3 linked regions of the Xenopus tropicalis genome follow. The main gene of each other region encodes a partner of the protein of the gene in region 3 in a complex. Links are inferred from orthologs where the notes say so. Each region holds a gene or a part of one and is shown on either strand. Other genes may lie near its edges.

Region 1 (10,657 bases), about 110 Mb from region 3:
GTCCTGGTTCTTGCTGCTATTAAGATTCTGAATCTTTAGGCTGGTGCACTAAATTCAGTATATAAAATATGGCATTTTTAACCATATTCATTTTTTAGTTCTCCCTTAACTCTACTAAAAAAATAATTTAAACATTAATTAAAACCAGGATTAAGGATTAATTATATTCACCTTGGGATCAAGTGCAAGGTACTGTTTTATAATTACAGAGACAAGGGAATCATTTAACCATTAAATAAACCCAATAGGGCTGTTCTGCCCCCAATAAGGGGTAATTATATCTTAGTTGGGATCAAGTACAGGTACTGTTTTATTATTACAGAGAAAAGGGAATCATTTAACCATTAAATAAACCCAATAGGGCTGTTCTGCCCCCAATAAGGGGTAATTATATCTTAGTTGGGATCAAGTACAGGTACTGTTTTATTATTACAGAGAAAAGGGAATCATTTAACCATTAAATAAACCCAATAGGGCTGTTCTGCCCCCAATAAGGGGTAATTATATCTTAGTTGGGATCAAGTACCGGTACTGTTTTATTATTACAGAGAAAAGGGAATCATTTAACCATTAAATAAACCCAATAGGGCTGTTCTGCCCCCAATAAGGGGTAATTATATCTTAGTTGGGATCAAGTACAGGTACTGTTTTATTATTACAGAGAAAAGGGAATCATTTAACCATTAAATAAACCCAATAGGGCTGTTCTGCCCCCAATAAGGGGTAATTATATCTTAGTTGGGATCAAGTACAGGTACTGTTTTATTATTACAGAGAAAAGGGAATAATTTAACCATTAAATAAACCCAATAGGGCTGTTCTGCCCCAATAAGGGGTAATTATATCTTAGTTGGGATCAAGTACCGGTACTGTTTTATTATTACAGAGAAGAAGGTAATCATTTTCAAAAAATTGAAATTATCTGATTAACATGCAGTCTATTGGAGATAGCCAATAGACTGATTCAGAGCTTTCCAGAAAAACAGATCCCATACCTGTACTTATCTTTCTACCCAGGCCCTCATCTCTTCATCTTCCAGTCTCTGTGTAAACCACTGCCTGGTTGTTAGGTAAAATTGGACCCTAGCAACTGGAAAGCTGCTGCTCAAAATGCTAAATAATTAAAATGAAGACCAATTGCAAGTTATTCCTTTAGTTATATGTACCAGTATACTACAAAGTGTATCTGCTTGCACAGTGACAGGGAGAGCATTTGACCTGCTCAGAGGCTCATCTGTTTGGTGGGAGCAGGTGGCGTGCTAACTTATCCCCCTGACAAAGCCGCCCAGGGCTGGCATGCTGAGCCGTATTGTCATCTCACTTAACCTTTCAGTTGACATTGATCCCAATATAGATTTTGGCCCTCCTCATGCCTTGCTGTTCAAGAAGGCGTCGGTAAAGAAATGACCATGGGACCCTTTGTAAATAGTGCCTTAAACTCTGTAGAGATGTAATAGTGTTCCTACTCTTCACCCCTTACTCTTACATTCTGATAAATAGGGAGACTGAATGAGATTTTCTTTTGTATCCCAGTCCAGGTCTGATCCCTGAACTCCAAACTGAGCTTTTCTTGTAAATGAAAGGGCCGGTAACACCAGCAATGAATGTAATAGGTTTTATATCTCTCTCATGGATAGAAAAAACAGTTTTCTTTGAAGTTGCTGTCTCGGTTTTTATTGCAGTGTGTTTGCAATTGGCTCCGCTGTGTTCAGCCTCAATGTATATGTTGCCTTAGCTGAGGCCTGCCTGGGTAGTTTTGTGCAGTGCAGCTCTATATAAGGACTGTACAGTACAATTCAATACAGATACCATGCATTATATTACAAACATTAGAATTGGGGGCTAAGTTAATGAGTAAATGCATTGTCTGCTGGTTATGGATCTTTGATGAACTTGGCTTTTGTTTTGCCAGGAGCAATATGGATTCATAAGTAATAGAGATAAGATGTAAATAAATGTGTCTGGCAAGTCAATGTAGTGCAAGACTTGCCTGAACAGCATATAACTACACAGATATTAATATTTATGGAGACACTAAATGTTCCGGCCTTATGTCAGGCCTCTCTGTAGAATGCTTGGATACAATTAATGGCTTTTGGTTCTTTTAGCACAGACAATATAAAGATCAAGTCCAAGCAAGTACATTGTGCCTGCCTTTTGTAGCTCATAGTTTTCTGCTCTTTAATGCCCATGGTTATTTTATGTTCCGGACTCAGTTTAACTGCTGTTCTGATTCCTACATTTCCAATATCCACCTGTGCACTACTCTCATACTACCCCAACCTGCACCAGCTTATGACTACTGACCCATTCCTGCTCTGATATTCTTCTGCCTACCTTGACCGTGGCTTGACTTTGGTACTTACTATAACCTGTCTGGGAAAAGCCATACCTGGGGCTATTCAATGACTGGCTTATGCCCTCTGTGACCTTGGCATTTATGCATTACTAAATAACAAACATTCTACCTGAGTGTGAATTAGCCTAGGGCAACATAAACATGCCCCCACAAATAGTTGTATTTTTAAAAAGTTATTAAAAAGTAATGGGCTGCAAATGTTCCTCTTGACTGTGCAGGCAATCTAATAGCAGTGGGATAATAGCCTCTGGGAAGGGACTGTGGCTGTGGGATAGCAGGTATAGTAGGGAGAGATGGTGCCTATAGTAGCAGTGGGATAATAGCCTCTGGGAAGGGACTGTGGCTGTGGGATAGCAGGTATAGTAGGGAGAGATGGTGCCTATAGTAGCAGTGGGGGGATAATAGCCTCTGGGAAGGGACTGTGGCTGTGGGATAGCAGGTATAGTAGGGAGAGATTGTGCCTATAGTAGCAGTGGGGGGATAATAGCCTCTGGGAAGGGACTGTGGCTGTGGGATAGCAGGTATAGTAGGGAGAGATGGTGCCTATAGTAGCAGTGGGGGGATAATAGCCTCTGGGAAGGGACTGTAGCTGTGGGATAGCAGGTATAGTAGGGAGAGATGGTGCCTATAGTAGCAGTGGGATAATAGCCTAATAACAAACATTCTACCTGAGTGTGAATTAGCCTAGGGCAACATAAACATGCCCCCACAAATAGTTGTATTTTTAAAAAGTTATTAAAAAGTAATGGGCTGCAAATGTTCCTCTTGACTGTGCAGGCAATCTAATAGCAGTGGGATAATAGCCTCTGGGAAGGGACTGTGGCTGTGGGATAGCAGGTATAGTAGGGAGAGATGGTGCCTATAGTAGCAGTGGGGGGGATAATAGCCTCTGGGAAGGGACTGTAGCTGTGGGATAGCAGGTATAGTAGGGAGAGATGGTGCCTATAGTAGCAGTGGGATAATAGCCTCTGGGAAGGGACTGTGGCTGTGGGATAGCAGGTATAGTAGGGAGAGATGGTGCCTATAGTAGCAGTGGGGGGGATAATAGCCTCTGGGAAGGTACTGTGGCTGTGGGATAGCAGGTATAGTAGGGAGAGATGGTGCCTATAGTAGCAGTGGGGGGGATAATAGCCTCTGGGAAGGTACTGTGGCTGTGGGATAGCAGGTATAGTAGGGAGAGATGGTGCCTATAGTAGCAGTGGGGGGATAATAGCCTCTGGGAAGGGACTGGGGCCGTGGGATAGCAGGTATAGTAGGGAGAGATGGTGCCTATAGTAGCAGTGGGGGGGATAATAGCCTCTGGGAAGGTACTGTGGCTGTGGGATAGCAGGTATAGTAGGGAGAGATGGTGCCTATAGTAGCAGTGGGGGGGATAATAGCCTCTGGGAAGGTACTGTGGCTGTGGGATAGCAGGTATAGTAGGGAGAGATGGTGCCTATAGTAGCAGTGGGGGGGATAATAGCCTCTGGGAAGGGACTGGGGCCGTGGGATAGCAGGTATAGTAGGGAGAGATGGTGCCTATAGTAGCAGTGGGGGGATAATAGCCTCTGGGAAGGGACTGGGGCTGTGGGATAGCAGGTATAGTAGGGAGAGATGGTGCCTATAGTAGCAGTGGGGGGATAATAGCCTCTGGGAAGGGACTGTGGCTGTGGGATAGCAGGTATAGTAGGGAGAGATGGTGCCTATAGTAGCAGTGGGATAATAGCCTCTGGGAAGGGAATGTGGCTGTGGGATAACAGGTATAGTAGGGAGAGATGGTGCCTATAGTAGCAGTGGGATAATAGCCTCTGGGAAGGGACTGTGGCTGTGGGATAGCAGGTATAGTAGGGAGAGATGGTGCCTATAGTAGCAGTGGGGGATAATAGCCTCTGGGAAGGGACTGTGGCTGTGGGATAGCAGGTATAGTAGGAAGAGATGGTGCCTATAGCAGCAGTGGGGATAATAGCCTCTGGGAAGGGACTGGGGCTGTGGGATAGCAGGTATAGTAGGAAGAGATGGTGCCTATAGCAGCAGTGGGGATAATAGCCTCTGGGAAGGGACTGGGGCTGTGGGATAGCAGGTATAGTAGGGAGAGATGGTGCCTATAGTAGCAGTGGGGATAATAGTCTCTGGGAAGGGACTGGGGCTGTGGGATAGCAGGTATAGTAGGGAGAGGTGGTGCCTATAGTATTATCCTATAGTTTTCACACAATTTAATATATTCATTTTACTTTAGTTTTTGTTTTTCTTCCCTAGAACTTTAAGCCTATAGTATAGGACAGTGTCAGTCACAACACACAAAATCTTGTCACTGCTCCCTTTAGCAAGCTATGGGAAACATGCTGGCGGTGACCAGTAGCCTCGGCTCAGAGACACTTGCTTTAGCACCTGTCAGTAGTAGCAGTGTTTCTGTAGGCGAAAACATATGGCATTCCCTCTAAACTCTGAGAATGAATTCCAGCATTTTGTTTGTTTTGACACATTTAGAACTCTTTAAAGAACTCTTTTCAGTCGTGCAGTGAATTTATCTTTTAGCCAAGACGGGGGGTGAGGATGCAGCACAGACAGCTGGTACCAGGAACAGCATGAAATGTTATATATATGAAATAAAGGAAAAATATCCTATAGAAAAGGGTTTTTGCTCTCTGTTTTGTGAAAAGCAGCAGGGAGGGTGCAGGTCGGACAGCTCCTATGTATCTGACAGTTATTTCAGAATATAGAAATAAATGGACAGCATACAGTACAAAAGAATAAAATGGTTTTGAAGTGATGATATTTCCCTTATTGAATATGTTAGTACCAACCTGTGGCCTCCATCTCTGAAAAAGGAAATCTTTGGCCACACAGCTCCTGCTGGGTATATAAATAAATGCACTTGAAACCATGAGGTGGGCTCTTTTGTCTTCCCAAGGGGATGTCCTGGAAAGTGTCCATTGATAGGGGAAGGCTGACGTGTGGCTCAGGAGGAGCAAACAGTGCCGGGGGGGGGGGGGGGGGGGGGTATATAAACTGAGCCATCAGCTGTCACCAGTGTTGCACAATTGGCTCCTGGGCTCCTGACCAGCATCACTCACAATGGATGATATTTACAAAGCAGCGGTATGTGCTCAACTTTCTGCATTCTCTTTAACCTACTCCTTACAGCTGAAAGCTCGCTCATCAGCCCGTCTCCTGGGGCTCCTTCTGGGTTGGTGCTGATGCAGGGGTTGCAATATAGATCGGCATTTGTATACAACTTGTTCAGTTCCCTTGGTTTTAGGAAGGGTGAGATTCCTGTAAATATTAATATACTAAGTACACTGTGCACTGACCATATTGTTACAGGAATTACCTTTAACAATGAATTATGACTGCTCATATGGTCAAAGCACAATAACTTTAAAGGATTCTATCACCTTGTTATTATACTTTGTAGAGCTCCTTCAGCTGCATTACTGGGGATGTTCATTTACAAATGGGATTCAGATCCCAAATCAGATTCTGCTGCTGTTTGACTGCTGTCTATGGGAAATATTGTCAGTTGCTGCATATATTCATGTAAAATGGAAATGTACAGTATAACTATGAACATTTAAAATGTATTCTCTTAAACAGTGCTTAATGATGATACTTGTGTCACATGACTGGCTGAAACATGTATGTTATAATAATGTCCCCCAGAACTTCATGACCTGTATAATCTGTATGGTCATGGATCTCCTAGGTGTCTTTTAATATCCTGATAGTTTACAATTAGGGGTAAATCATTTTCTGTATAAACTTACACATTATCTGCAGTAACACAGGGAAGACATCTCTGAAATAGAAACTGTAAATGCCTTATTTTAATCAGATGAATAGAGATTTATGACAGGTTTAATTGTGTGCTAGATAATGAATAATATAGCATATGTAACATAGCATCATCTAGGGATTTGTGCAGGTCTGTAGGGCTCAGTAAGGACCTATACAACATCCCGCAGGGTACTGGTACTGGCCTAAACGCACAGGGGGCCAATGAAACTGTAGCAGCATCATTTTCCCATATAGCTGCATTCTGCATATTAATGGTCGGAGGATATTGAAATACCAAATGTCATTAATAGGGATGCACTGAATCTACTATTTTGGGACTTGGCTAAACCCTGAATCCTTCATGAAATTTTCAGCCGAATCCCGAACCAAATCCTAATTTCCATAGTCAAATGAGGCTAGGGATGGGACAAAGAGAACCGTGCTCACAGAGTGTGCCTAAAAACTTCATCTTTATGTGATGAAAAGTCACATGATATTAAGGATTTGAATTTGGCAAATGGATTTGGCCAAATCTGAATTGTGCTGAAAAACTCCAAATTTTGGTGGAATCCCGGACCGAATCCTCGATTCAGTGCATCCCTAGAGCTCATTACCAGGGGCAGGCTCAGACTGGCAATCTGTAGATTCTGGGAAATGCCAGAGGGGCTGCTGTAAGGTGCCATAGACAGTCACTATTTATTGGGCTGGTGGGGGCTGTTTGGGCTTCTGTGTACTTGAAATGCCAGTGCCTATTTTGTATCCCATTCCAGACCTGAACAGGAGTGTGAAAAATCATAGCCAGGCATAGTCTACAATGGGCCAGTATGAAATAATATACAGCATGTTTCATCATGTATAGAACCCTCTTGCAGAGTTGGTACCATGTAATGCCCCTAATGCAATGTTGAGTTTGAAGGGGAGTGTACAGTGTCCTACTATTGGAGATATCAGGAGATTTAGATGGAAGTACAGGTACTTTGCAGTAATTATATTACAGAGAATGAGCCACATTGCACTCACACTCACTGTCCTTCACTTCTCCTTGTCCTGCATATACCAGCTGCATGCACAGCACTCCAACGCCCCCCTGACCCACACATACACACTGACTTTATGGTGGGGCTATACAAACTCTACAGGGATAATGGGCATTTTGCCTGTCTATCTGTATATTCATTTGTTTGTTTAAATACTGCCCCTCCATCTACCAGAGCATCCATATATCTCTGTCTTTCTGTCCGTCTTTTCAAGGGTAAGATTTATTGAAAATATCTATTTGGGCTTAAGCTGACTGTACACTTATTAACGTACTTTCTGGCATGGTCACCAAATGAGCATATCTGTCTGTCTGATTTGGTCACTTACATGCCAGGCCAAATTGGGCTGATCTGATTGGCTGCACCAATGCACTAATTTGCCCTAAATTGCCTTGAATTTTCTAACCTGCCCACTATATATATGATCTTGGGGCTGCTGCCAGCTGAGGCCAATGCCGCCCCTCTCTCTCATTCCATGCTTACAATTCTAGCAGCAGAGTGGGTCTAGTGGGGCTGCATTGGTATGCAGTGCTATTACACTCTCTGCACTGGCAGAGCTGAATTTTCATTTTAAAACATGAAAATTCTGTTTTTAAAGTTACCAGAGGTGGCTTTTTGCCACCACTAGTAACTGGCTGCTTCCTGCCACCTAAGGCAAGGTTCTGACCCAGACCAATGAGCTGGTATCCTAGATGCCAGTCAGAGTAAGGTTTGGGGTGTCTTACTAACTATAACAAATACAAAAATGCTTTCATGTGTCAGCAAATTGTTATAGGCTAAAGAGAGTCGTTACCAAATGTTGGATATCAAAGTGGGGGCTTGAACTCCCCCCAAAGATCAAAAAGCCAGTGGCTTAACAGATAACCATAGTCTGAAATAGCCTATGGTTGCCGCCTGGCTAGTGTTTACCTGATTAGCTAGCAAATATCAGGCTTAAATGATAAAGAAAGGTTAATATATTGGGCTGTACCAATATGTTAGGTACCATCTAGTGTGTTAAAGGAACAGTAACACCAAAAAATGAAAGTGTATAAAAGTAACTAAAATATAATGTGCTGCTGCCCTGCACTGGTAAAAGTTGTGTGTTTACTTCAGAAAGTCTACTATAATTTATATAAATAAGCTGCTATGTAGCCATGGAGGCAGCCATTCAAAGGAGAAAAGGCACAGGCACATAGCAGATAACAAATAAAACACTATTGTATTCTACAGAACTTATCTGTTATCTGCTATGTAACCTGTGCCTTTTCTCCTTTTTTCCAGCTTGAATGGCTGCCCCCGTGGCTACACAGCAGCTTATTATATAAATTATAGTAGTGTTACTGTAGCAAACACACCAGTTTTACCAGTGCAGGGCAACAGTGCATTATATTTTTATTACTTGAAAGCCCTTTCATTTTTTGGTGTTACTGTTCCTTTAAATCACTAAGGACCAGTGCTTCTGTTTAATAAAAATTGCACCAGGGATCTTACTTTCTGAGCCCCCACATATCTATCTTTGTGGTATTTCCCAAGGCTCCCTTGCGGTTTTTTTAGGCTTTCATGTCCGCACTTTAGTAAAAATTAATTATTTTCCAGAAAAGATGCTTAGTGAGTAAAGATGGCCATACATAGGCCAATTTTAGCTGCCACTATCGGTCCTTTAGATCGTTTTGGCATTTTATCTGCCTGTGTATGGGCACGAACGACGGGCCTCCCGACTGACACCTGGCCTGAAATCAGGCAGATCTTGATTGGGTAGGTTTGATTTTTGATGCGGTCAGATTGTTGATGTGGTCTCCGAACCGATGACAATAAGATTGTTTGGCCTGGCCGAATTACCCATAGGTGGGCATATCGGGAAAAGATCCGCTTGCTTGGTGATCTCGCCAAACAATCGGATCTTACAATGTATGGTCACCTTAAGATCCCCACACATGGGAAAAAAGTTAAAAATTTAGTACAATGGGGGTGACACATTGTCACTAGTGTATTAACCTTTCTTTGTCCTTTAATGAGCAGATAATCAGCGGAAAAGAAAACTGGGGCAGCACTAACAGAGTGGCCCCTTCCTATGTGCAGATAATTACTTGTCAAGCCAGAGAGCAGACAAATCCTCCTGCTATTAATACAAGACATGCTGAACAATAGCCATGCAAAGCCACTTGTATTATCCACAAACAGCTGTTCTGGCCCAAAGACGTCAGCCATTTGTCCTGACAAACTGCCCGGCACACAGGAGGCAAATCCCAGAAGTTATTTGGGTCCTGTGCAATTCCAAAAATGAAAACGACTCAGGCTACAAAAAGGGTAGGCTAAAAAAAGAGCCATTGTTCAGGCTGCGCCCGCCATGTCCCGAATTCTTCTAATTCGGAAGAGCCTTAAAAGGACATTAATGTAGACAAATTTATTTTGTAAAATTCATGGTTGAGTTTTTAAAAGGCATTGCAAGTACAGGCTAGCCAGTGATGGGGAAGATCTATAATCCCTTTTTTAATTTTGGCTGGTAGAATGAAGGATAAACTACACAAAGCATTAGGGACTTTCCAATAACTCTCTGCCTTACAGACCCTGAGCTGGTGAGGCAGAAACTGACAGCTCTAGTTTCCTAGGCAACAGCAGTTCCAGCCAGCTAGGCACCCCATTCAGCAAGTTACCCTAAACTTGTGCAAACGACTTCCCCTTATATAGTCTGTTATATTTATATGTGACATTAACCTTATTGCCTGCAAGAATGGGACAGATGTATTAATATGCTTTCTAGCACCAAATAACAACAAATGATGCTGGGAGTTGTAGCTAAAGTATAGCTAAAAGGTTATCCCTTAAGACTAGTATAAAAATACTGTGTAAAATTCAGTTTATGTTTCAAAGTTCCGCTCTCTGTTAATGCTATAATGTGCCCAACCCATAAGAACCGTCCAAAACTGGGCAGTGGCCTTTATGCTATGATTCTACTGCTGTTGTTCTACTACAACTCCCAGCATCCCCTGAAGAATAATAATAATGACTATTGTAGATCAGCAACAGCTGCAAAGCCACAGGTTTGAGATCTAAGAGGGTGATGCATGGCACTTTTTTGTGCACTGAGTTTCCGAGCAATGTAATAAGCCCCTCTTGTACAAATAACTCCACACCTTCATGCCTACATAAGGCAATGCATGAGCTCAGCTAAATTTGGTGTTCGGTTCAGACTTGAATGACAATACCAATAATGGAGGCAGAGATAAGCGTGCAGCGGAGATAAAAGGGCCTAAGGTTAAATGCCACTGTCACTGTGTAAATGGGAACAATTGGATACTTTATCTTTCTCTCCCTGCGCCTGTATCTTCACTTTATAAATAGCCTGCAAGGGACATGGATTGGGTTACTCCAAGCATACAAAAGCAGCACCAGGCAAATGTCTCCCAGCCCCATACAGTGCCCACCAAGCCCATAGCTATGCCGCTGCCCGGCCAAAACAATAAAAGAGCAGCTGTTTTGTTTTTCTCGCTTACAGACAGGATTTGTTTGTGTTTCACAAGCTAGG
Region 2 (10,781 bases), on a different chromosome or scaffold from region 3:
AGTACCAGCTACTTGTCCTGGCTACAAAAATAGAAAATGCTGATCATTTACTGATAATTGTCTCTACATGTGTTTTAGCAGAGGCAATTCTCAGTATTGCCTATGGCAGGGTACTTTCTGGCGTTCAGTAGCCATGGAAAAGTAGCTGCTACTAGTAAGGGCAGTGGTACATGGGGAGATTAGTCACCCTGCAATGCTATCCCATTGGCTAGAATGTAAATCGGCATAAGTGTCGCTGCGATGTCCCGCAGTCACCCTAAGTTGTTTTGAGAGGAAACTTCGGGCAACTGCAGGACATCGCAGCGACGCCTATGCCATCCCAGCGGCGATTTACATTCTAGTGGGTGGGATGGCATGGCGGGTAGATTGGTCACCTGCGACAACGAAGATTAGTTGCAGGGCGACTAATCTCCTTGTGCACCACTGCCCTAAATGTAAACCTGTGGCTATTGCTCTCTGTGTACATGGCTACCGGTGAGTTCAAACAGGAGTCATCTCCATGAGTGGTGAACTCATATGTCTATCTACATCTTGGGAAGGGGCAACTGCTGAACACAGAAAAATTATGTTTATTATTCCTGCACCCATCATTCTCCAGTTGATGGGGTTATGTAATAAAATTTGCCCAGGTGCAGTAATTCATAACAACCTACAGGTATAAGCATCTTATTGGTTGCTATGGGTTTCTGCTGCTTTTAATGTGTCCTTTTTCACAAAGTCAGTCAGTAACTCTCAAATCCAAGATAAACATTATGGGCCCGATTCACTAAAGGGCGATAAAACGAGCGCTATTTATAGCATGCGTTAAAAAGTTTTATTGCTTCTTATTTTCTGCGACTTAACGCTCGATTCACTAAAAGGACAGGTGTCATAATTAAGACGCAATGTTCTTTGTGTTATTTAATTAATTCATTCATTCATTCATAATTATTTAACGATGAGCGTTTATCTTGAGTTAATTCCCGCTGCGAGCGATATATTTGTGAGGTAAATAACGCATTGTGATTTGCGGTTTTTTTTTGCACATTCGATATGCGTCTTAATGCATGCGAATATACTTTGATGAATCGGGACTTAATTATCGCATGCTTTTTAACAAATGTGTGCCTCTACTCTAAAGATGAAAGTGTGGGTCAGTCGTTAAACAGAACCGATTATAACCCAAATTACAGAGTTACCAGAGAGCAGACAGCCTAAATGACTGGTTTGTGTTCCAACCTTTCTATCTTCCATTTAATCTTTTTTATGCCGTGTGATTATACCCTGTGCAAACGTTTGTAATGCAATGGGTTAACAATAAGTGCAATTCAAGAACACCCCAAGCCCCTTCTTCTACCCCACCACCCCCTGCCTGAACTATAGATAGGAGCAGCTGCACCTGTTCCCCCCCCAGATCCTTGGAGGAGTCAGCTGTCCCACTCTAGGAATAGAAGCGATAGTTAAGAAGTCTCGCCCTGCTAGAGCCTTGCAAACCCTATGATGCCCTGCTTGTTTCTAAGCACAAACACGTCCTGGATCAAAGAATGCCCATTCCCACTGTGTGGATCCAATTCCCCTAAAAAATGTGCCCTGATTTAGACAGACACAGGATAGAATTGTGTAGCTTTAACCACGTGCATTTCAATTTAGGGTGGGGTTAAAGGGACCGTATACCCTATTTATAAAAAGTCTTTATATTCTATGTATTCTTCCTTACATAGACAACAGCAAAGTCTGAGGGCTTAGATTATACTGTGCGCAGAACATTCCTTTGCAGTTTAATAAAATGCATATTTATAACTTGATAATGTAGTTTTGCATTCAAATTCTCCATATAAACAGCAAAGAAAAAGTCACTGCACAAGTACAAAATATTTTTTTTTTTTTAAGAATGTGCCAATTTCTTCACCTATATATTGTCCTTCATCAGCTGCTGACATGTAACTCTCAGCAGCCCTAAAATTCCTTTAGCTGTCAGTGGGTGCTGTGAGTTTTTGTTCAGCATCAATAAAATGGTGCTAGGTTTTACTGTGATAATGTAAAATGTTAGTGTTGCCATCTCACCCATCTTTACAGCCACAGTCCCTTCACCATCTCTCCCTACTATACCTGCTATCCCACAGCCACAGTGCCTTCCCAGAGGCTATTATCCCCCCACTGCTACTATAGGCACCATCTCTACCTACTATACCTGCTATCCCACAGCCACAGTGCCTTCCCAGAGTCTATTATCCCCACTGTTACTATAGGCACCATCTCTACCTACTATACCTGCTATCCCACAGCCACAGTGCCTTCCCAGAGGCTATTATCCCCACTACTACTATAGGCACCATCTCTACCTACTATACCTGCTATCCCACAGCCACAGTCCCTTCCCAGAGGCTATTATCCCCACTACTACTATAGGCACCAACTCTCCCTACTATACCTGCTATCCAACAGCCACAGTCCCTTCCCAGAGGCTATTTTCCCACTGTTACTATAGGCACCATCTCTCCCTACTATACCTGCTATCCCACAGCCACAGTCCCTTCCCAGAGGCTATTATCCCACTGCTACTATAGGCACCATCTCTCCCAACTTTTCCTGATATCCCACAGTCACAGTCCCTTCCCAGAGGCTATTTTCCCACTGTTACTATAGGCACCATCTCTCCCTACTATACCTGCTATCCCACAGCCACAGTACCTTCCCAGTGGTTTTTATTCCACTGCTACTATAGGCACCATCTCTCCCTACTATACCTGCTATCCCACATCCACAGTACCTACCCAGAGGCTATTATCTTACTCCTTCTATAGGCGCCATCTCTCCCTACTATACCTGCGACGCCACAGTCCCTTCCTAGAGGCTATTATCCCCACTTGTTCTATAGGCTCCGTCTCTCCCTACTATACCTTCTATTCCCCAGAGGCTATTATCCTCACTGCCAGTGGCATAACTCAGGTGCCCTTTCTGCACTGGTGCTAGATGTAAGCATGAGAGGGGGGAGTAGGAGGGTTTCAAATGGGCATTTAGTTACACCATTGTTATTATAATAAGAAACACATCTCCCTATTAAATCTGTTAAAGCCATAGCTGGAGGTTATCATCTCCACCTGCTATTGGCATCATTCCCACTGTTCCTTCCCAGGTCATCACATTACTATACAAATATAGTGTCTGTAGGTGTATATTTAAGGTGGCCACACACGGACCGATTGTAGCTGCTGATATCGGTCCCTTGGACCAATTCAGCAGCTTATTGGCCCGTGTAGGGGCAGGAACGAGGGGAATGCCCGACCGATGGGGCAGGTTAAAAGATTGCCCCATTGCCGCCATTGTTGCCTACATGTTCCCCGATATCACCCACCCGTAAGTGATCTTCACGTGTATGGGCACCTTTAGTGTGTTGAGTTTTCCTATTGTTCCTCCATGTGTGAAGCCCAGGGTACTTGTCCCGGCAGCTGTATGGCTGGGATCACAGTGATAAAAACTGACTCAAGGTGAAGAAATTTTGAGCGTATTGGACTGTGGATGTTTGTGAATAAGCCCATAGCAGGTATAAAAGTGCAAAATGCAAACATAGATATACTACTATTCACACACATCTATAATACAGTTGTGTTTTTTTCTTTCTAATGGTATTAATATTTGCCTGTGTGTGGCTTCTGTCTGTGGCCCATGGTCTGAATTTATTTTGTGGTTGGAGTAATTGTGTATCTGTGTTGCCAAAACATCAACCAAACTGCTACTGTGCCAGTATTTGTAGGTATTTATTTAATAATGTTTAGCTTAAATTGTTAGTGTCTGTTAAGTAAAACATCCTGAGAAGATGGCTTAACTAAAATCAGAGTTTGGAATCTGTCTGTGGAATTTACATGAGTCTTTCCCTGTGGAAGAATGCCAAGGCAAAGTTCTATTTTTGAAGCTATGGAGAAAAGGGGAAAGTGTAACATTTTATAGATATGGAGCTAATGAATTGACTAGCTACCCAGAGGAGAAGGTTAGGCAGGGAGGTCAAAATGCTGTTGTTGGACCCATCAACCACAGAGAGTATATATCCCCTGTGTAAGTAATGGAATGTCCATAAATGCCATATAAATTTATGAGGCATAAAAGAGACCAAAAAACACATTGGGTATAGGACAGTGGGGTTCTAGAAAATTTTGCCATAAAGCATCCTTCTGCTGTTGTTTTATGATAAGCAAAAAGAAGGTGCTGGTTGTAAACAACTGCAAAAAGATCACCATAGAAGATATGATGATTTTAAAGAACAATCATAACCAATAGAAGACAATGTTACTAGGCAATGATCTCTAGGGTAGAATCTGTTTTTGCCCTGGTCTTTGTAGTGGGAGAATTTGCAAGTAAGAAGTCTGGCTGGATACCAAGTTATGCATGGGGGGGGAGAGAAGTAGGGTGATGTAAACTGAAGCCAAGCTCCTTGGAAAGTGTGAACATATTTGTGGGAAAGATGAAACCTTGCCGGACCTTCACACGGAACCAATAGCTTGACACCGAACCTTGAGAATCTCTTTCCTTAGAACCCTTTCATCTAGAACCACCTGGAAAGTTTGATCCATTACCTTTAAACTGAACTTTTTCTTTCCTCTCCATATGGATCCTTTTAAGGAACAGTAACATCAAAAAATTTATATATTTCAAAGAAATTAAACTATAATGTACTGCTGCCCTGCACTGGTAAAAGTTTTGTGTTTGCTTCAGAAACATTACTAGAGTTTATATAAACCCTGGTGTGTAGCCATGGGGGCAGCCATTCAAAAGAAGAAAAGGCACAGATTATATAGCTGATAACAGATAAACCCTGTAGAATACAATGGTGTCATATCTTATCTGTTATCTGCTATGTAACCTGTGCCTTTTCTCCTTTTTTCCAGCTTGAATGGCTGCCCCCATGGCTACACAGCAGCTTATTAATATAAACTATAGTAGTGTTCCTGAAGCAAACACCCCAGTTTTACCAGTGCAGGGCAACAATACATTATATTTCAATTACTTTAAAACACTTTCATTTTTTGGTGTTACTGTTCCTTTAAGAGCATATGTAGCCATTAATATAATATGCAACATATACAACCTGTTCAGAGTATATGGACCTATATGGAGCTGTCAGAGTATATAGACCTAAATGTGGATTTATTTTCAGTCTCCAAAAAAGGTGCAACTTTTACAAACCACTATAGAGACACCCCACTTTTTTGCAAAATACAATATCATTATGCACTTTCTTTTACCTTTATATTACAGCTATTACCTTCTTCACTTTGTTTCTGCACCCCTCCAGTTCTTACTCCCCCCCACCCACATTCGATGCAAGCCAGTAATCGCAAATGTGATTTTTTGGAGTTATAGATCATTAAAAATGGAGGAACACAGCCAGGACACTTTTGTTTTAAACTTTGTAGTTTTCCTATTTAATGTTTTTGAGGCATCCCCTACACCAATCCCATTCTTCACAGCAAAAAAACAGAATGCACATTTTCCAACATACAAATATAAAAGCAAACCAGATCTTCCTGCCAAGCACACATTTAGCATATATGGCACCCCAGAGATATATATCCCAACCCGGCATGAAAATTCCTCCTGTTTTTATAGACCATATACACAGCATTAAGCATAATTGTAGCCCAGAATTCATACTTTCCTGTGCCAATGGGGTGTCATAGCTAATAACAGAACTGTGCCAGTCTGTAAATGGATCTTAGCACAATATTAATTAAGAAAATTCCTTTACAAGCTAAAGCATTCTTTGTTTCTGTGCATTCTGTGCATTTTACTGCCCCTACTATGAACGTTCCCCTAGCAACCATACACACAGTGCACTGGCACTAGCAGAGAAAGAGTTAACTCTTTTATTGGTCTTAAAATAACCAGTGACAGAGAAAGCATAAAACCCAACCAATGCCTTAGCATATTCTTATGATCTGTGGGGGTGGTAGCTGGGGCCTGTAGCGGATAGATGTCCAGCAATATAAAAGCCAATCCTAAAATCCTGACATTATCCAAGCCAGAAATACAAAGCCTGCCAGTTTTAGAGCCAGCTCTTTAAAACCCAGTTCTTGTTCTAAATAAGGTTCGACAAAGCCAAACTGATATTATGTCCGTGGGAAAGCCCTGAGAATCTGGTATCAGGTATATTAACCATCTAATAGCAACTGCAAAGCTAAAATCTACCCTGACTGTTACCATATTATAGTTACCCTTTAATATTAGTTACAAGATAAAAGCAAATAATTCAATAAATCTAACACAAGGTTAAAACTCTTTCATCATAAACACAATAGGATTACTTGTAGTAGCACAAAACACCTCTTATTAAGTGCTATTGTAGCAGAGGAACTGTATCTGTAGGGCACAGTAAAGTTTAGTTCAGTCCAGGCAAGCTAGAGGTGATGAAAGTTTCTTTTTGAACCTCACTATAAAGCTGTGACATTTGCCACTCTCTGGCTCGGGTCTTGGTGACAAAGCATTCCTTCCTTGATGTCCCTGGTGATGGATGATCAGAGAAGGAATGGTGACAGAGGCAGCATGTCATTCATATCTGAGTAGCCACAATGTTAGAGATTTGTTCGGCAGTTCTGGGTAGAGTTGCCATCTCTTATGACAGAAGACCCCACTGCCCCCTTTAACTCCAAAGACTTGGCACAATTGCACCTCTTGTCTCCTTTTTTGTCATTTTGTAGGATGCAGATGGATACAGCCTTTCAGTTCGCACCCCCCCAACCTCAGGGACACTTACCATCTTGGCAGGTCACCCCAAATGCCTGCAGAGGAGAAGGATGGCAGGAGGTATCTGTTTCCTCTTCTGTACAGACCCCCAAAGCTTTTCTACAAACAGTCCCCCTCTAATTTGTACTGTGCCCATTCACACACCTGCTCCCCCTTCTGCCCTGATTGGATGCCACTAACTTAAAACACCCCCACTCCCAATCCCATGCCAGCTTACCCCTGATTGGAGGGAGAAGCCTTTTACCAAATTTAGCTTGTGCTGGGGGGGCAGTCAACACAAAAATAAAAGACCAGGTAAAGAGGGAGGGGACACTGATGAGTGTGAACACATGGTTCTCCTCTTACTGTAAATAGTTAAAGGGAATTTCCAGCACTAAACACCCCCCCACCCATCCATTCCCTCCCCACGAGAGACTTCCATCCCCCGGATTTATGACAAGGGCTGCAAGAGCCAGAGAAGAATAGTATCAAATGATCCCCCCAGCCCACCCACCCTCCCTTCACAAGGAACCAGATTAGAAGGAGAAGCAGCTGCAAACGTGACCAGCAGTGGCACAAGAAGCAGGGCAATCCATTGGCAATTGCACTGGCAGGCAAGCTCCATACAAACGGCTTTGGCAGAGGCAGGAAGAACTGCAGGACAGGCATAGAGCTGCCTTTCAGTGGGTGCAAATAGGAGTGACTGAACTGAGTCATACTGTAGGGACCAGCTGACCAGCAGTTTTAAGTTGCATCAGTAACACATGTGTGGCCCAGCCAGTGGCCCTTCAGCTGTTGTTGAAGTACAATTTTCAGCAGCCAGTGGCTGGGAGCTATAGTTCAATACACACTAAAGTGCTGCAGGTTAAACAGTTCTACTTTATGCAGAACACACAATGGCTGCTTTTTGGATAACGAAAAAAGCAGATTCTGTTCAGTGCCAGAAAGCTAAACCATTCAGCAGGACTTGCTGTGACATAATTAGAATTTGCTTGACCCCACATTTTATAATAACTTTATCTTTTTTTCTGTATGTTCATCTAATCAGTGCTAGAGTAGGCCTCCTAGAGTCCACCAGAGAACCTGACACCCAGGAACGATTGTGTATAATCTACAGCACTTAGAGGCTTCTGGGAATTTTGGAACAAGAGTTGGAGAGCTGCAGACTGGGCATCATCAACATAAAATCCAAAAGTGTGTACCTGGCCTATACTAACATAATCGCCACCTAATGTCTCCACTTACATCCACTCTATACCACCCCCCTTTAGTTGCTGTCCCACCCCAGCTTTAATTTTTATTTTTAAAAGGTGGCAACCCTACCAATAAATACATAATGCAAAATATGCAAAGCTTTTGCATCTTGTATCACGCCTGCAAGCCCTGTGCATTCGGGCAAATGCCAGAGGGGCTGCAGTAAGATGCCATAGACACCACCAGCCCACTATTTTTTGGGCTGGTGGGGGTTGTTTGGGCCTCTCTGCCCTTGAAATGCCAGGGCCGATTTTGAATCTCAGTCTGGACCTGGACCTGCATACCTATGAATACACCACTGCCTGTTTTTGGCAGCACTGTATCCATAAGGTCATGTTGTGTGCTACATCTTTCAGACATGCAAACTAGGGAGTGCCAGTGGGATGCAAGGCAGAAGGAAACTCTATCCATACTAAATCCATATGGCCTGGATGGGTCCTATGGTACATAGTTTTGCACCCCTTGGGGCTCCAGCACAGACCTGGACTGGAATTCAAAATAAGCCTGTCATGAATCGGCGACGCTCCCTACCTGGCGTGCGGCGGCGTCCTCCCTCCCGGCGCGGCAAATCCAAGATGGCGGCGCCCAGGGCTCCACGTGGGCGCAAGGACGCCGGCGCGATGACGTCACGCGCTATGGCGCAAAGGACGCCAGAGACCCAGGTTCAATGCCCGAGTATAGCTCAACATACCTATTGTGTTCCTGGGTCTCTAATATTCTCATCTGCTTTCCTGTTGCTGTTTAATTGCCTGTTCCTGACCTTGAACCTTGCTGCCTGCCTTAAGTGACCTTTGCCTGAACCTGACCTCTCTATTGGATTATCCTGCATCTGTACTTCGCTCGGACTCACTGGAAGCGGCCTTCCTCCTTGATCCTGACTTCACCCCTCCCGTGGGTGCCGGAGGCCCCCGCTGACATTATACTCGGGCCATGGATCCCGAGGAAGCGGTACCGGACGTCGGAAGAGCCCTTCGCGGGCTGGCGTCCCGTATGGAGGCGTATGAATCCCAGCAAGTCAGAATTGGGCAAGTACTTGATTCCATTTTGTCCCGTTTGCCCGCTACTCCCGCTGTCGCGGAAATTCCTCCTGCTGTGGTGGTTCCTCTGCCAGCGATGTCGCCAGCTCGTGAGCCACGAATACCTCCTCCTCCGCGCTACAGTGGCAATCCGCAGGCCTGCAGGGGATTCGTGACTCAATGCCAGATTCAGTTTGAGTTCCAACCTTCCCAATTCTCCTGTGAGCGAGCGAAGGTGGGCTACGTTATGTCTCGTCTGGAGGGCAAACCACTGGAATGGGCAACTTCTCTCTGGGAGAGTCAGTCACCCCTGACATTTGATGTGAAGGAATTTCTACAGATGTTCAGAACCATCTTTGATGCCCCTGGTCGGGTCGCTACTGCCTCTTCACGCCTGCTGCAAATCCGCCAGGGCAGTCTCGGTGCCAGTGAGTATGCCATAGACTTTAGAACCCTCATGGCGGAAACTTCCTGGAATGAAGAGGCTTATAAGGCAGTCTTCTACCAAGGCCTATCGTCCCGTCTGAAGGATGACCTGGTATCCAGAGATCTACCTGACTCCCTTGAAGATTTGATTGCTCTCGCTATTAAGGTAGACACTCGCCTTAAAGAACATCAGGCTGATAAAGAGCGGAGTAAAAAGTCTCATCCAGTCCTGGCTCCGCGCTTCCAGAACCCTATGATACCCCCGTCTTCTCCGCAGTTTACCACTTCCCCTTCGGAGGAACCCATGCAACTTGGGAAGGCTCAACTATCTGCACAAGAGAAGCTTCGGAGACGCCTTTCCGGCCTATGTCTGTACTGCGGCGGACAATCCCACTTAGCGGTTTCCTGCCCTGTCAAGCTGGGGAATACTCCTGCTTCAAGTAAGACTGTTGTTTCTTTTGCTGGTAGTATTGTTCCTAAGTCAGCGGAACAATCTCACCAATTTCATGTTCCTGTGCAGATCCGATTGCCCTCCCAGGCAATTCCAGTCTCAGCCTTCCTTGATTCCAGAGCTGCAGGAAACTTTATGGACTTGGCATTCGCAAAAAAGGTTGGCATTTCCCTCTTTCCAGTGACTCCTCCTATTCGGGTCTTCGCCATCGATGACAGACCTCTCTCCACGGACACCATCACTTTAACCACCGGTGAACTATCTGTCCAGATTGGAGCACAACATCTGGAAAAGATGTCATTCCTGATCATTCCATGTCCTTCGTCTCCTGTTGTGCTGGGGTTGCCATGGCTACGACTCCATAACCCCTCCATTGACTGGTCATCGGGTCAAATCTCCCATTGGAGTCAGTACTGCCAAAGACATTGTTTAATTCCTCAGCCACTCCAGCGGGTTACAGTCTCCTCTACGAGTCTTTCAACTCTGCCCTCCGTCTACAGGGACTTCTCTGATGTGTTTTGTAAAAAGTCAGCAGAGTTTCTTCCCCCGCATCGGCGGTATGACTGCCCTATTGATCTCCTTCCTGGAACCATGCCACCCCGTGGGCGGACCTATCCCTTATCCCCTGCAGAGACGGCTGCTATGAAGGAGTATATCTCTGAGAATCTCCAGCGTGGATTTATCCGTCCTTCTACCTCCCCAGCAGGAGCTGGCTTCTTTTTTGTCGAAAAGAAGGACGGTGGACTCCGCCCCTGTATTGACTACCGGGGTCTCAATAAAATAACTGTTAAGAACAGATACCCTTTACCCCTTATTTCAGAACTTTTTGACCAACTAAAAGGGGCCAAGATTTTCTCTAAGTTGGATCTCCGTGGGGCCTATAATCTCATCAGGATCCGAGAGGGCGATGAGTGGAAGACGGCTTTCAATACCCGTGA
Region 3 (10,694 bases):
ATCCCAACTAAGATATAATGATTCCTTATTGAAGACAAAACAAGGCATGGTGATCCAAAATACAGAAGGACCTCTTATCCATAAATGTCCCAAACATTGTGGATAACAGGTCCCATAGCTGTAGTGCTATTTAGTTATTCAGTGCTTGGTTTCATGCAATGGTTGCCAAGGGCATTAAACATCATTATATTCACCCTTGATTACAGCGCAATAAATTGTAAATATATAACTATGAGCGGTCACCCATGATTTGCCATCACTTCTTGCAATCAAAATGACAAACGTACAGTATAATATTAACAGTTATATAGGGCGAGGAGGCCCCAGGAAGATTAAATAGCTCAGATTAAATACAACAAATTACTTCTTATTGAAAAGGATCTCTTGCAACTTTTTTTAATTGGGGGAAGGAATAGAGGCAGAGGGTTTATGTCCCCTTTATTCTCTTGCCCTGTATGTAACGTACCAAGTAGCAGCTCATGTAATGAACAAGGAAGAGCCAATGTGTGGGTGGAGATGCCCCAGCCTCAGCGCAGCCGCGGGTTATTTAAATTATAATAAATCTGTGATTGTAAATGTTCTGTATGTTTGATTTTCCTTTCATTCTGTATAATGTTAGATAAATAAATATAAATGTTTGTATCTCTCAATATATGTATGTTTTGCTGTGTGTACATACTTGGCCAGCAACCAAGCGTTAAGGTGGCCATACATTATACGATTATACAGATCTTTCCCTGATGTGCCCACGTAAAGGTCCCCATACACGGGCCGATTGTAGCTGCCGATATTGGTCCCTTAGATCGATTCGGCAGCTAATCGGCCTGTGTAGGGGCAGAAACAAGGGGCCTGCCCGACCGATATCTGGCCTGAAATTGGCCAGATATTGATCGGCCAGGTTAAAAGATTCAGTCGGATCGAGGACCGCATCGGCTCGTTGATGCGGTCCCTGAACCGACTGCCCCATTGCCGCCAATATAATTCGATCGTTTGGCCCCAGGTCCAATCGATCGAATTAGCCTCCATGTATGGGGACTCTTAGGTGGTTGATATTGGGCTAATTTAATCATTTGTCCCTAGAAAGACGGAGATAGGAGCAGCCAGAGCGACGGGAAAATCAAACATGTCTGACTGACATCTGTCCAATTTTCTGTCCAATTGGGTATATTAAATCAAGGGCTAAAGCATCATGGGAGCTGTAGTCTAAGCACCTGCTGAGGTGGATCCTTTAGTATCTGTAACTACGGTTGGCATGCCAATTTTCGAGAGCTAGGGGGCGCCAGAAGAGGCCGATTTAGGGATAATGTAGGGGCACTTTACTGAGCCGTTCCCTGGAAACAGGTTTGGCTGCATATGTGTATAATGGTTTCCCACCCTTTTGTGTTTATCATTTTACATCTAAATTGAAGGGCACAAGCTTTGTCCTGTATTTATTCAACCGAACCGCTATTCCATACCTGATTAACAGGACATACGTCTTATTCGCAAAAACCCGTTGCACCAGCTGATTTAGTGGGGCATATAGGGGGTCATTTAGCAACGTTCCCAATATTGGAATTATGGTTAAAGAACTTGTATGTTGGATATTTCTTAAGTGCAGAAAACTCAGCGTGAAACGCGGCATCTAAAAGATGTGAGTTTTCAAGCCATTTTGAGTTTTTCGAGCTCAGAAATTTGAGGAGTTTGAGTTTTTTACGGATTTTGATTTGATAAAGTTTTTTATATACAGATTTTTTTTATACATAAACAAACATTCAATCATTTTTTATTCAATTAGACCTCTACTTTCTCCCCACGTCCCCCCAGTCACTGCATATAAGTTAACCAATCACATTTAACTTTCAGTATCATTGTATCCAACTTACTTTGAGGTGTGAGCACAGTTCTACTTATATTAACACAACTACCCCAGGCACAACTCCCCCTGGTGTCCCCAATGACAATGCAATTAAGGTGGGAAAACGCTGCATTGTGGGAAAAAAAACACAGCAATTGTGATAGAAATTAAACTTTGCACTAGTGGTCATAAATGACCCCTTATTACTTTAAGCAGGGGGGTGGTGTGTACGAGAGGGCGGGCTGATGACATTGGGGGCGTGGTCAGGACACTATGGGGGTGGAGTTCTGCCAACCCAGGCCACAGCTAGGGAATTAGTGAGTAGTGTGGGGTAGAGGGATGGGCTGGGAGAGGGATTTGGAGGCAGGTAGGGGGCGGTGCAGGGCCAGAGGACTAGATATTACAAATTTACAGCAAGTACATTGCTAGTAAATATGTAATCCTGGCCCTGGCCTTGGTTACTATTTTGCCAGCTTGGCCGGTGAAATACTAGCTGGGTGGCAATCCTACAGGGTCCTGACTCAATGTAGAGCCTTGATCACTAGATTGGTAAAGCCATAAAAAACCTACAAATCGCAATTTAATTTCCTATGCTTTATTAGCTAAATATAAAGAGGAAAATGACTGTGGTTTATATGAAGGGCAACCCTTACCTCTTCTATGCCCAGGCTTTCCCCGCCAAGGAGGTTAACCACCTGCCAGCAACGTAGAATCGACATTTCCAGGTTCAGTTGTGACTGTGAAAAAAGCATTACGAGAATGGCCCGACATGGAAAGAGTTAAAGCAATACCCATGTAGATCAGTTCTGTCCAGCTGTTTTCATGCAGCAGAATAAATGTTTTACAATAGCACCACTTTGGGCCTTTTTATGGGTTCCTTAGCGCCTTGTCTTGTTCTGCCTTAGGGCTATGGCACACCCATAGGTGATTATTGCATTGCCGGGCACTGGCAGGGATATTACTAGTAGAATAACTATAGAAAAGGCAGACCCTGCTGAGGGGGGTTGTGGGTGGCCCTGGGGACCTGGAATGCAGGGTGTTCTTCTGTAATGGCAGAGAATCCCACCTCCCTGAGAGCGAGTGGCGGGGAACAAGGGAGTGGCTGGGTATGGGTGGCAGTGTGCATCTATGGAGGGGCCATTGCAAGACAAAAAGCCCAGATAATACGCCAAGTGCCTTAGCACTGACTAATATGCCTTTTTGGGAGGCTGACAGGGCCAGAATGTGTGCTCTAGAGCAGTGGTTCCCAACTTTTTTTGCACCACGGACCGGTTTCAAGCAAGACAATTTGTCCAAGGACCGGGGATGGGGGGTGCGGCGCAACTAGTGCTAGTTAAATTTTATATTATGCACTTTACTATTAATATTATTATTACATACAGCTTAATAAAGTACTTTGGTCCTTGTCGTAATCAGTAGAAATCTTCCTGGGCTTCGAATAGCTATTGTCATGGCTGTGTAAAGCATCAGGGAGTTGGGATCACAAGTAATATGGAGCAGTGGTGGCCCATTTCAGCACAGCCCACGGCCCGGCACCGGTCCCCGTACCGGTGGTTGGGGACCCCTGCTCTAGAGGAGCCGGTGTGGTCCAAAGTGCCAGCTTGGTGCCCATGAAATGCTATTTTGCATCATGTCCAGTAGAGGTCAGCACCACCCTGCTGCTTTTCTGTATGTGGGCAGTAATACAGGAATGCCCTGGGTGAGCGAATTCCTTAGCCCCCAGCAGGATTACAGGCCAGAGGACTATCTGTGTGTCTGCTAGAGACGAATAAACCCCAAACAATTAGAAGAGAATGCTGAGATAGCCTGCTGTGGGGCGGGAGGAGCGGAGAGACAGGTGTGAGGGTGCATTGGGTGGGACCTTTTTAGAAGAGAAAGCTGCTAGGGATAAGTTGCATAGCTGAGATTGAAAAGGGTACTAGCTGTTTTGGTTGGGGGGGATAAGTAAGAGGGAAGTATCTGCTTTGGGAAAGTAATGGGATCTGCAGAGAACAGCACATTAACCCTTTAGTGGCTGAGATGCCTCCTACTTTAGATTTGTATCTCTAGACCCTCCCAGAAGGTTAAGCGCACTGCCCATACCATGCTCCCAGTGCCATGACAGTAGGCATTTGGGGGCCAATGTTATTTAAGGAATGCCCCACTGTTCACAATGCTGACCACCAGCAGATACAGGGTTAAGTCTTAAGATGGGCTGCAAGGGAGGGTCAAAGTATTTGTGTCACCCGCCTCGTGATTGGTCGGAGGTTGTTTGCATGCCCTTACTGAGCCAGGCAGCTTTTACCCCTGGGCACCCCCCCAGCACATTAATACCCCCCTCACAACACAGCGCTGCCAGTCCCACCCCTGCTTCATAGAGAGGGCTCAGTCTACGAGGGTCAGGTAAGGAACAGCCCCTGGGGGGCAAAGGCAGAGGCATGTGTATATACAATAAATGGATTTCTGTCTGTCAGTACAGTATGTGCATGAGATTAATTAGGGTCCTGCCTGGGCAACTTGCAGCCGAGATCTCTGCCTATACACAAGCCCCCTATCCCCCTAGCTCATTCATTACACTGTTCAGCCCACTATAAATAAATTACCTACATTTATTATAACCTATTCAGTCATACATTCTCTGTGCTTTAAAACAACAAGCTACAGAATTCCCTGTAAAACAAGAGTTAATATTTAACATTTACTTACATTACAACCTCCATTCACAATAGCAAAACCCAACCGGGGAGGGGGGATTTAACACCACGACCCTATCGTGAGAATTTTAATTGAATTTGTATATATTAACGATGCCAGTGAACTTCATGTATTGCGCAAATATTGGCAAGCACACAATTTTATCTACGTGCTTTCAGCAGCCTCGGTTCCACATATATAGATATAGTATGTTGGGGAAAAATCATTATTTTATAGTCATTAATAACAATTATATGTAATAGATCCCTGCCAGAGTTTAATGAGTGTATGAATGTACATTTAAAGTAACAAATTATCTGTGTATTTGTATTAACTGCTTAGAATTCCCGGCATTTACAGTTTAACCTGAAGGGAGGGGATGGCTGTTAATTAAAGAGTTAACAGACCATTCTCCACCGATTCCCTTTCTCTTAAACACACTTCACTTGTATAGATTTCTATTCAGCATTTGATTATCATGCCCCATAGTCTCTGTACAGAGCAACAAGGCTGCTCCATGCTCGGTACCATTATAGAATGTTGCTTAGTTATTGTTTTTAAGTGTTATGTTGTGTAGTAGACACTTACAATGACCCATTTTGTGCATGGAACCCATACCCACCCATTTGGAACTGATGTTTAATTCATTACAGGACCCCCTTTTGTAGCATGAAACATATATATATATTCCTGATAGAACCTATAGATACAAATGTATTAGATGGAACCATATATGTAGAATAAGTAAGGGTAGGGTACAACAGACTAGCTGCCAATATATTTTTTATATATATTTATATAAATATATATATATATACAGGCATGGGATCCCTTATCCGGAAACCCGTTATCCAGAATGCTCCGAATTATGGAAAGCCCATCTCCCATAGACTCCATTTTAATCAAATAATTCAGAATTTTAAAACTGATTTCTTTCTTCTCTGTAATAATAAAACAGTACCTTGTAATTGATCCCAACTAAGATATAATTACCCCTTATTGGAGGCAAAACAATCCTATTGGGTTTAATTACTGTTTTATTGATTTTTTAGTAGAGTTAAGGTATGGAGATCCAAATTACGGAAAGACCCCTTATCAGAAATACCCTTGGTCCCAAGCATTCTGGATAACGGGTCCTATACCTGTATATATATTATATATATCTCTCTTTTAACCCCAACTATGGGCCTGCTGAGCCCTATTGTTCTACCATGTATGCCTGTGCCCAAAGACTTACCACTACTCTTTCCCTCATTGCCCCAATTGGCATTGCTTCCCAGCCCATGGTTCGGTGAAAGGCTAGATTTGGGAGATTTTCCTAATTCCGGAGGATTTGTGCCCAAGTTGCCTGTGCTGAAAGAAGGAGATATTTGGAAATATGACCTGCGTCCGCCACCACTGATTGAGAACCTTGGTTTCAAGCATTATTATAATATTCCGCAGCCTACAGGCTGTAAATCTGGGGCAAATATTACTCAGCATTATAGGGCATTGAGTGGCTTTTATTTTAGCATCTGAAATGGGACCCCCTGAGAGTCAGCGCATGAATGCGAGGAAAGGGAATGAACACATGGCTAAGGTTTCTTCACCTGTGACCTCATTCATTAGAAGGGCCTGGCAAGGAGGGATCCATAGAGAAAGGGTGAGACAGCTGTCATGCCTTAAAGGCTCCGTGGGATATTTTCGGAAAGTCTTGCAAAGTTGCTGATATCTCCAAAGGGGATCAGATGACTTCAAATAGGGTGGCGGGGTGTCCCATCTCTGCTCCCCCTGCCAAGGTTCTATTTAGAGGCCGGCCAGCGGTGGCAGAGGAAGGGACATCCAAGGAGCTGAGTTCATTGGGGAATTTCAGACTAATCCTTCCATCAGTCTGTGCCTAGGCTGGTATGTGAGCGGGGCTCAGCGTGTTCCTTACAGGGATTCTTTGCCAAAGAGTTATATCTTGGGGGGCAGGACTTCATGTGCTGAATTTTGTGTCTTTGTGTTTTGTGCTCAGGTATCACAGAAACCGCCAAGATGGGTGAAGAGTGAGTAAAAACCTCTTTGGGTCAAACCATGTTCTCTCTGTCTGTCTCTATATTATATCTGACTAGTATCTGTCTTATTCTTTCTAATCTATCTGTCTATCTATCTATCTATCTGTCTATAATCTATCTATCTATCTATCTATCTATCTATCTATCTATCTATCTATCTAATCTATCTATCTATCTATCTATCTATCTATCTATCTATCTATCTATCTATCTATCTATCTATCATCTATCTATCTATCTGTCTATAATCTATCAATCTATCTATCTATCACCTATCTATCTAATCTATCTATCTATCTATCTATCTATCTATCTGTCTATCTTCTATCTATCTATCTATCTATCTATCTGTCTATCTATCTATCTATCTATCTATCTATCTATCTGTCTGTCTTCTATCTATCAGGCATATATCTGTCTCTATTAACCTACTATCTGTTAATCTGATATTAATCTATCCCTCCATCTATCTCGGTAACGTTGAATATCGCGCATATATGGCTATCACTTATAATTAATGTTATATGAATCTAAATTCAGCTCTCTGTCTATGGTATTTAGATACAGTAGGCATAAGTCCATTCTCCTTTAAACAGATTGTAAGGTATTAGGCCAAGCTTATTGGCTGCTCAGAACATTATTATATTATGGAGGAAATGTAGCAGCAAGTCTATTTTGCTCCAGGTCTAGTAACCTATAGCAACCAATCGGCAGTTAGCAGATGGAATTGGTTTAATGCAGATGGAATAATGAAAGGAAACATCTGATATGTTGCTACAGATCACTACAGCTCTTTCAGTTTTTACTATATTGTGGACCAAATTAGATCCCTAATTAGAATATTTAGATCTGAGCTCAACCAACAAAAGAGCATTATGGGTAAACAAACATGTCCAGGGCTTTAACATAACATAAATACTTATACATTGTTGTCTATTCAAGGAAAGATATGGTACCCTTATACAGTGTAGGTCAAACTGTGTCCCCTATACACTGAGAGTATGTACCATTATATGTTCTTATTGTATTGGCTCTATAAGTTATAGGCAGTGCTGTGTCTGTCTTTCATTTCTAACCTCTTCTTTTTTATTTCCCTTCTCTTTTCCCCTCTGATTAGTGACGTAAGTTACTCTTTTTCCTTTCATTATGGCGCATGTTGTGACAATGTAGGGGCAGCCTTTACTGAGCTAAACAGACTTTACCATGACCCAGACTTACAGATAGATAGATACATACAGGCATACAGGCAGACAGTGTCGGACTGGCCTACCAGGATACCAGGAAAACTCCCGGTGGGCCCAGGTGTCAGTGGGCCCCTTTTGCTTCTATCTATTTAGCCAATTTCATGGTGATTCACTGTTTCTGTGTGGGAACAAGGAAGCTTGATAGATGGAAGAATAGAGTATAGTATGTAGAGAAAAGAGACTAGGATAATAAAGTGTTTGAGGGAGGAGAGTTGGAATTAAAGTTTTGAAAGTTGGCCCATGGTCCAGGGTTTTCTGGTGGGTCCCTGCCATCTCAGTCCGACACTGCAGGCAGATAGATATATGTAGTGAGTACTATATAATATTCAATAGAGATATGGTTAAAATAAGAAACAGCTGAAATTTCCTTAGGCCAGGAACACTAGCATCTTGTTCCACCAACCGTGAACATTAATATGGAGCACTTTTGCTTTCAACTTCCTTGTCCTGACTGTCTTCATTTTTGTCCCTGCTGCCCTTTCTATTTTAAACACAGATCCGTCTTACAGGTTATTAGTCCCATTACTACTATGAGAATAATTTCTTCTTACTCTGCCTGAAATCAGAAAGGCATTGTCCCATACCAGGCTATCATCCCACAACCATAGTCCCTTCCCAGAGGCTATTATCCCACTGCTACTATAGGCACCATCTCTCCCTACTATACCTGCTATCCCACAGCCCCAGTCCCTTCCCAGAGGCTATTATCCCCCCACTGCTACTATAGGCACCATCTCTCCCTACTATACCTGCTATCCCACAGCCCCAGTCCCTTCCCAGAGGCTATTATCCCCCCACTGCTACTATAGGCACCATCTCTCCCTACTATACCTGCTATCCCACAGCCCCAGTCCCTTCCCAGAGGCTATTATCCCCCACTGCTACTATAGGCACCATCTCTCCCTACAATACCTGCTATCCCACAGCCCCAGTCCCTTCCCAGAGGCTATTATCCCCCCACTGCTACTATAGGCACCATCTCTCCCTACTATACCTGCTATCCCACAGCCCCAGTCCCTTCCCAGAGGCTATTATCCCCACTGCTACTATAGGCACCATCTCTCCCTACTATACCTGCTATCCCACAGGCACAGTCCCTTCCCAGAGGCTATTATCCCCACTGCTATTATAGGCACCATCTCTCCCTACTATACCTGCTATCCCACAGGCACAGTCCCTTCCCAGAGGCTATTATCCCCACTGCTACTATAGGCACCATCTCTCCCTACTATACCTGCTATCCCACAGGCACAGTCCCTTCCCAGAGGCTATTATCCCCACTGCTACTATAGGCACCATCTCTCCCTACTATACCTGCTATCCCACAGCCACAGTCCCTTCCCAGAGGCTATTATCCCCACTGCTATTATAGGCACCATCTCTCCCTACTATACCTGCTATCCCACAGGCACAGTCCCTTCCCAGAGGCTATTATCCCCACTGCTACTATAGGCACCATCTCTCCCTACTATACCTGCTATCCCACAGGCACAGTCCCTTCCCAGAGGCTATTATCCCCACTGCTACTATAGGCACCATCTCTCCCTACTATACCTGCTATCCCACAGCCCCAGTCCCTTCCCAGAGGCTATTATCCCCCCACTGCTACTATAGGCACCATCTCTCCCTACTATACCTGCTATCCCACAGCCACAGTCCCTTCCCAGAGGCTATTATCCCCACTGCTATTATAGGCACCATCTCTCCCTACTATACCTGCTATCCCACAGGCACAGTCCCTTCCCAGAGGCTATTATCCCCACTGCTACTATAGGCACCATCTCTCCCTACTATACCTGCTATCCCACAGGCACAGTCCCTTCCCAGAGGCTATTATCCCCACTGCTATTATAGGCATCATCTTTTCCTAGTATACCTGCTATCCCCCAGCCAGAGGTTGTTGCCTGTATGCCAGTAATAAAAATGATTAGGCAAAATGTGTAAAAACAGGTCATGTGGAAATGGGCTAATTGGAATAATAATAGTTTTTTGTAATGAAAAGTGACATTTCATAATAAAATATAGCTGTTGATTTCTGGAAAAAGAGAATGATAGATTGATTGGATGTTTGAGAGTCAAAGATTTCTTTATGAAATTGGGGATTACACTTTTCTAACAAAAAAAATGCTAATAATTTTTTCATTTATGTTTCTGCAGAAGAAATCCAAGATCTCCAATACTCGCAAAACCCACCTGAAGGTAAGTTATCCATAAAAACAAAACAGTCAGGCCCTTATGCCTCAAAACAAAGTCCTGTATGGGCCTCCATAAATTATATAGGCACAGAGTGAAGAGAAATGTTCCTAACATGGCTCTCATACACCATGCCTGTACAATTCTCAACATAGTGAACTTATGAAGACCCCCGTGATTCTTAGTGGCTATTGATGTAGAACTTTTTTTACTGTTCCTTAGTCCCAAGAACTCTACCACAACCATAAATGCACACCAGCTATCCTCCCAACGCTGCTTTTTAGGTTCTTCCCACATCACATTGTTCTTACTCCTCTTCTCTTGTATGTGCAGAGCTTGATGCTCCAGGTGGCCAAAACTGCTCTTGAGAAAGAAGAAGCTGAAATTGCGGCAGAGAAGGAAGCCTACCTACAAGAGCACTGCCCACCTCTAAGCCTTCCCAGCAACTTATCAGAACTCCAGGTACGTTCCATGAATATAGACTGTGGCAGGATCTTTAGTAAATCCAGCCTACTAACTTACAGTACAACCTGCAATAGAATATCTTGGTGAAATGTACTGCAGTCACTTTATTCTCTATTGCATTGTCTACCTAGGATTTCTGCAAGAAGATGCACGCCAAAATCGATGTGGTTGATGAGGAGAGGTATGACATGGAAGTCAAAGTTGGAAAGAGCACCAAGGAGGTTAGTAGCTTTCATATAATGAAGG

Evidence for each region.
Region 1: the proteins of tnni2 (region 3) and tnnc1 are in contact, whole or in part, in an NMR structure (PDB 2MKP), measured with the Homo sapiens proteins. The link is inferred for Xenopus tropicalis from reciprocal best matches to the Homo sapiens genes TNNI2 and TNNC1. Residues at the interface, in NP_001139301.1 of Homo sapiens: Arg116, Met117, Ser118, Ala119, Asp120, Ala121, Met122, Leu123, Ala125, Leu126, Leu127, Lys130, His131, Lys132; in NP_003271.1 of Homo sapiens: Asn18, Glu19, Phe20, Ala22, Ala23, Ile26, Val44, Met45, Met47, Leu48, Gln50, Pro52, Glu56, Phe77, Met80, Met81, Cys84, Met85, Lys86, Asp87.
Region 2: the proteins of tnni2 (region 3) and tnnc2 are in contact, whole or in part, in a crystal structure (PDB 1A2X), measured with the Oryctolagus cuniculus proteins. The link is inferred for Xenopus tropicalis from reciprocal best matches to the Homo sapiens genes TNNI2 and TNNC2. Residues at the interface, in NP_001076252.1 of Oryctolagus cuniculus: Glu5, Asn8, Arg9, Ile11, Thr12, Arg14, Arg15, Gln16, His17, Leu18, Lys19, Ser20, Val21, Met22, Leu23, Ile25, Ala26, Glu29, Leu30, Glu33; in NP_001076114.1 of Oryctolagus cuniculus: Ser13, Glu15, Met16, Ala18, Glu19, Ala22, Lys91, Leu96, Glu98, Cys99, Arg101, Ile102, Phe103, Arg105, Ile119, Phe120, Ala122, Ser123, Glu125, His126, Val127, Glu131, Ser134, Leu135, Asp138, Phe152, Met155, Met156, Val159, Gln160.

Annotation. Positions count from the first base shown.
Region 1 is NC_030680.2:128,880,823-128,891,479, forward strand, and holds the start of tnnc1 (troponin C, slow skeletal and cardiac muscles), read left to right. Parts: upstream 1-5,392; 5' UTR 5,393-5,413; coding exon 5,414-5,437; intron 5,438-10,657. UniProt on the Homo sapiens protein: Troponin is the central regulatory protein of striated muscle contraction. Tn consists of three components: Tn-I which is the inhibitor of actomyosin ATPase, Tn-T which contains the binding site for tropomyosin and Tn-C.
Region 2 is NC_030686.2:19,700,715-19,711,495, forward strand, and holds the start of tnnc2 (troponin C, skeletal muscle), read right to left. Parts: upstream 6,797-10,781; 5' UTR 6,731-6,796; coding exon 6,728-6,730; intron 1-6,727. UniProt on the Homo sapiens protein: Troponin is the central regulatory protein of striated muscle contraction. Tn consists of three components: Tn-I which is the inhibitor of actomyosin ATPase, Tn-T which contains the binding site for tropomyosin and Tn-C.
Region 3 is NC_030680.2:21,780,891-21,791,584, forward strand, and holds the start of tnni2 (troponin I, fast skeletal muscle), read left to right. Parts: upstream 1-4,172; 5' UTR 4,173-4,219; intron 4,220-6,300; exon of another isoform or gene 6,301-6,394; intron 6,395-6,506; 5' UTR 6,507-6,526; coding exon 6,527-6,537; intron 6,538-7,663; coding exon 7,664-7,667; intron 7,668-9,947; coding exon 9,948-9,989; intron 9,990-10,316; coding exon 10,317-10,445; intron 10,446-10,579; coding exon 10,580-10,669; intron 10,670-10,694. UniProt on the Homo sapiens protein: Troponin I is the inhibitory subunit of troponin, the thin filament regulatory complex which confers calcium-sensitivity to striated muscle actomyosin ATPase activity.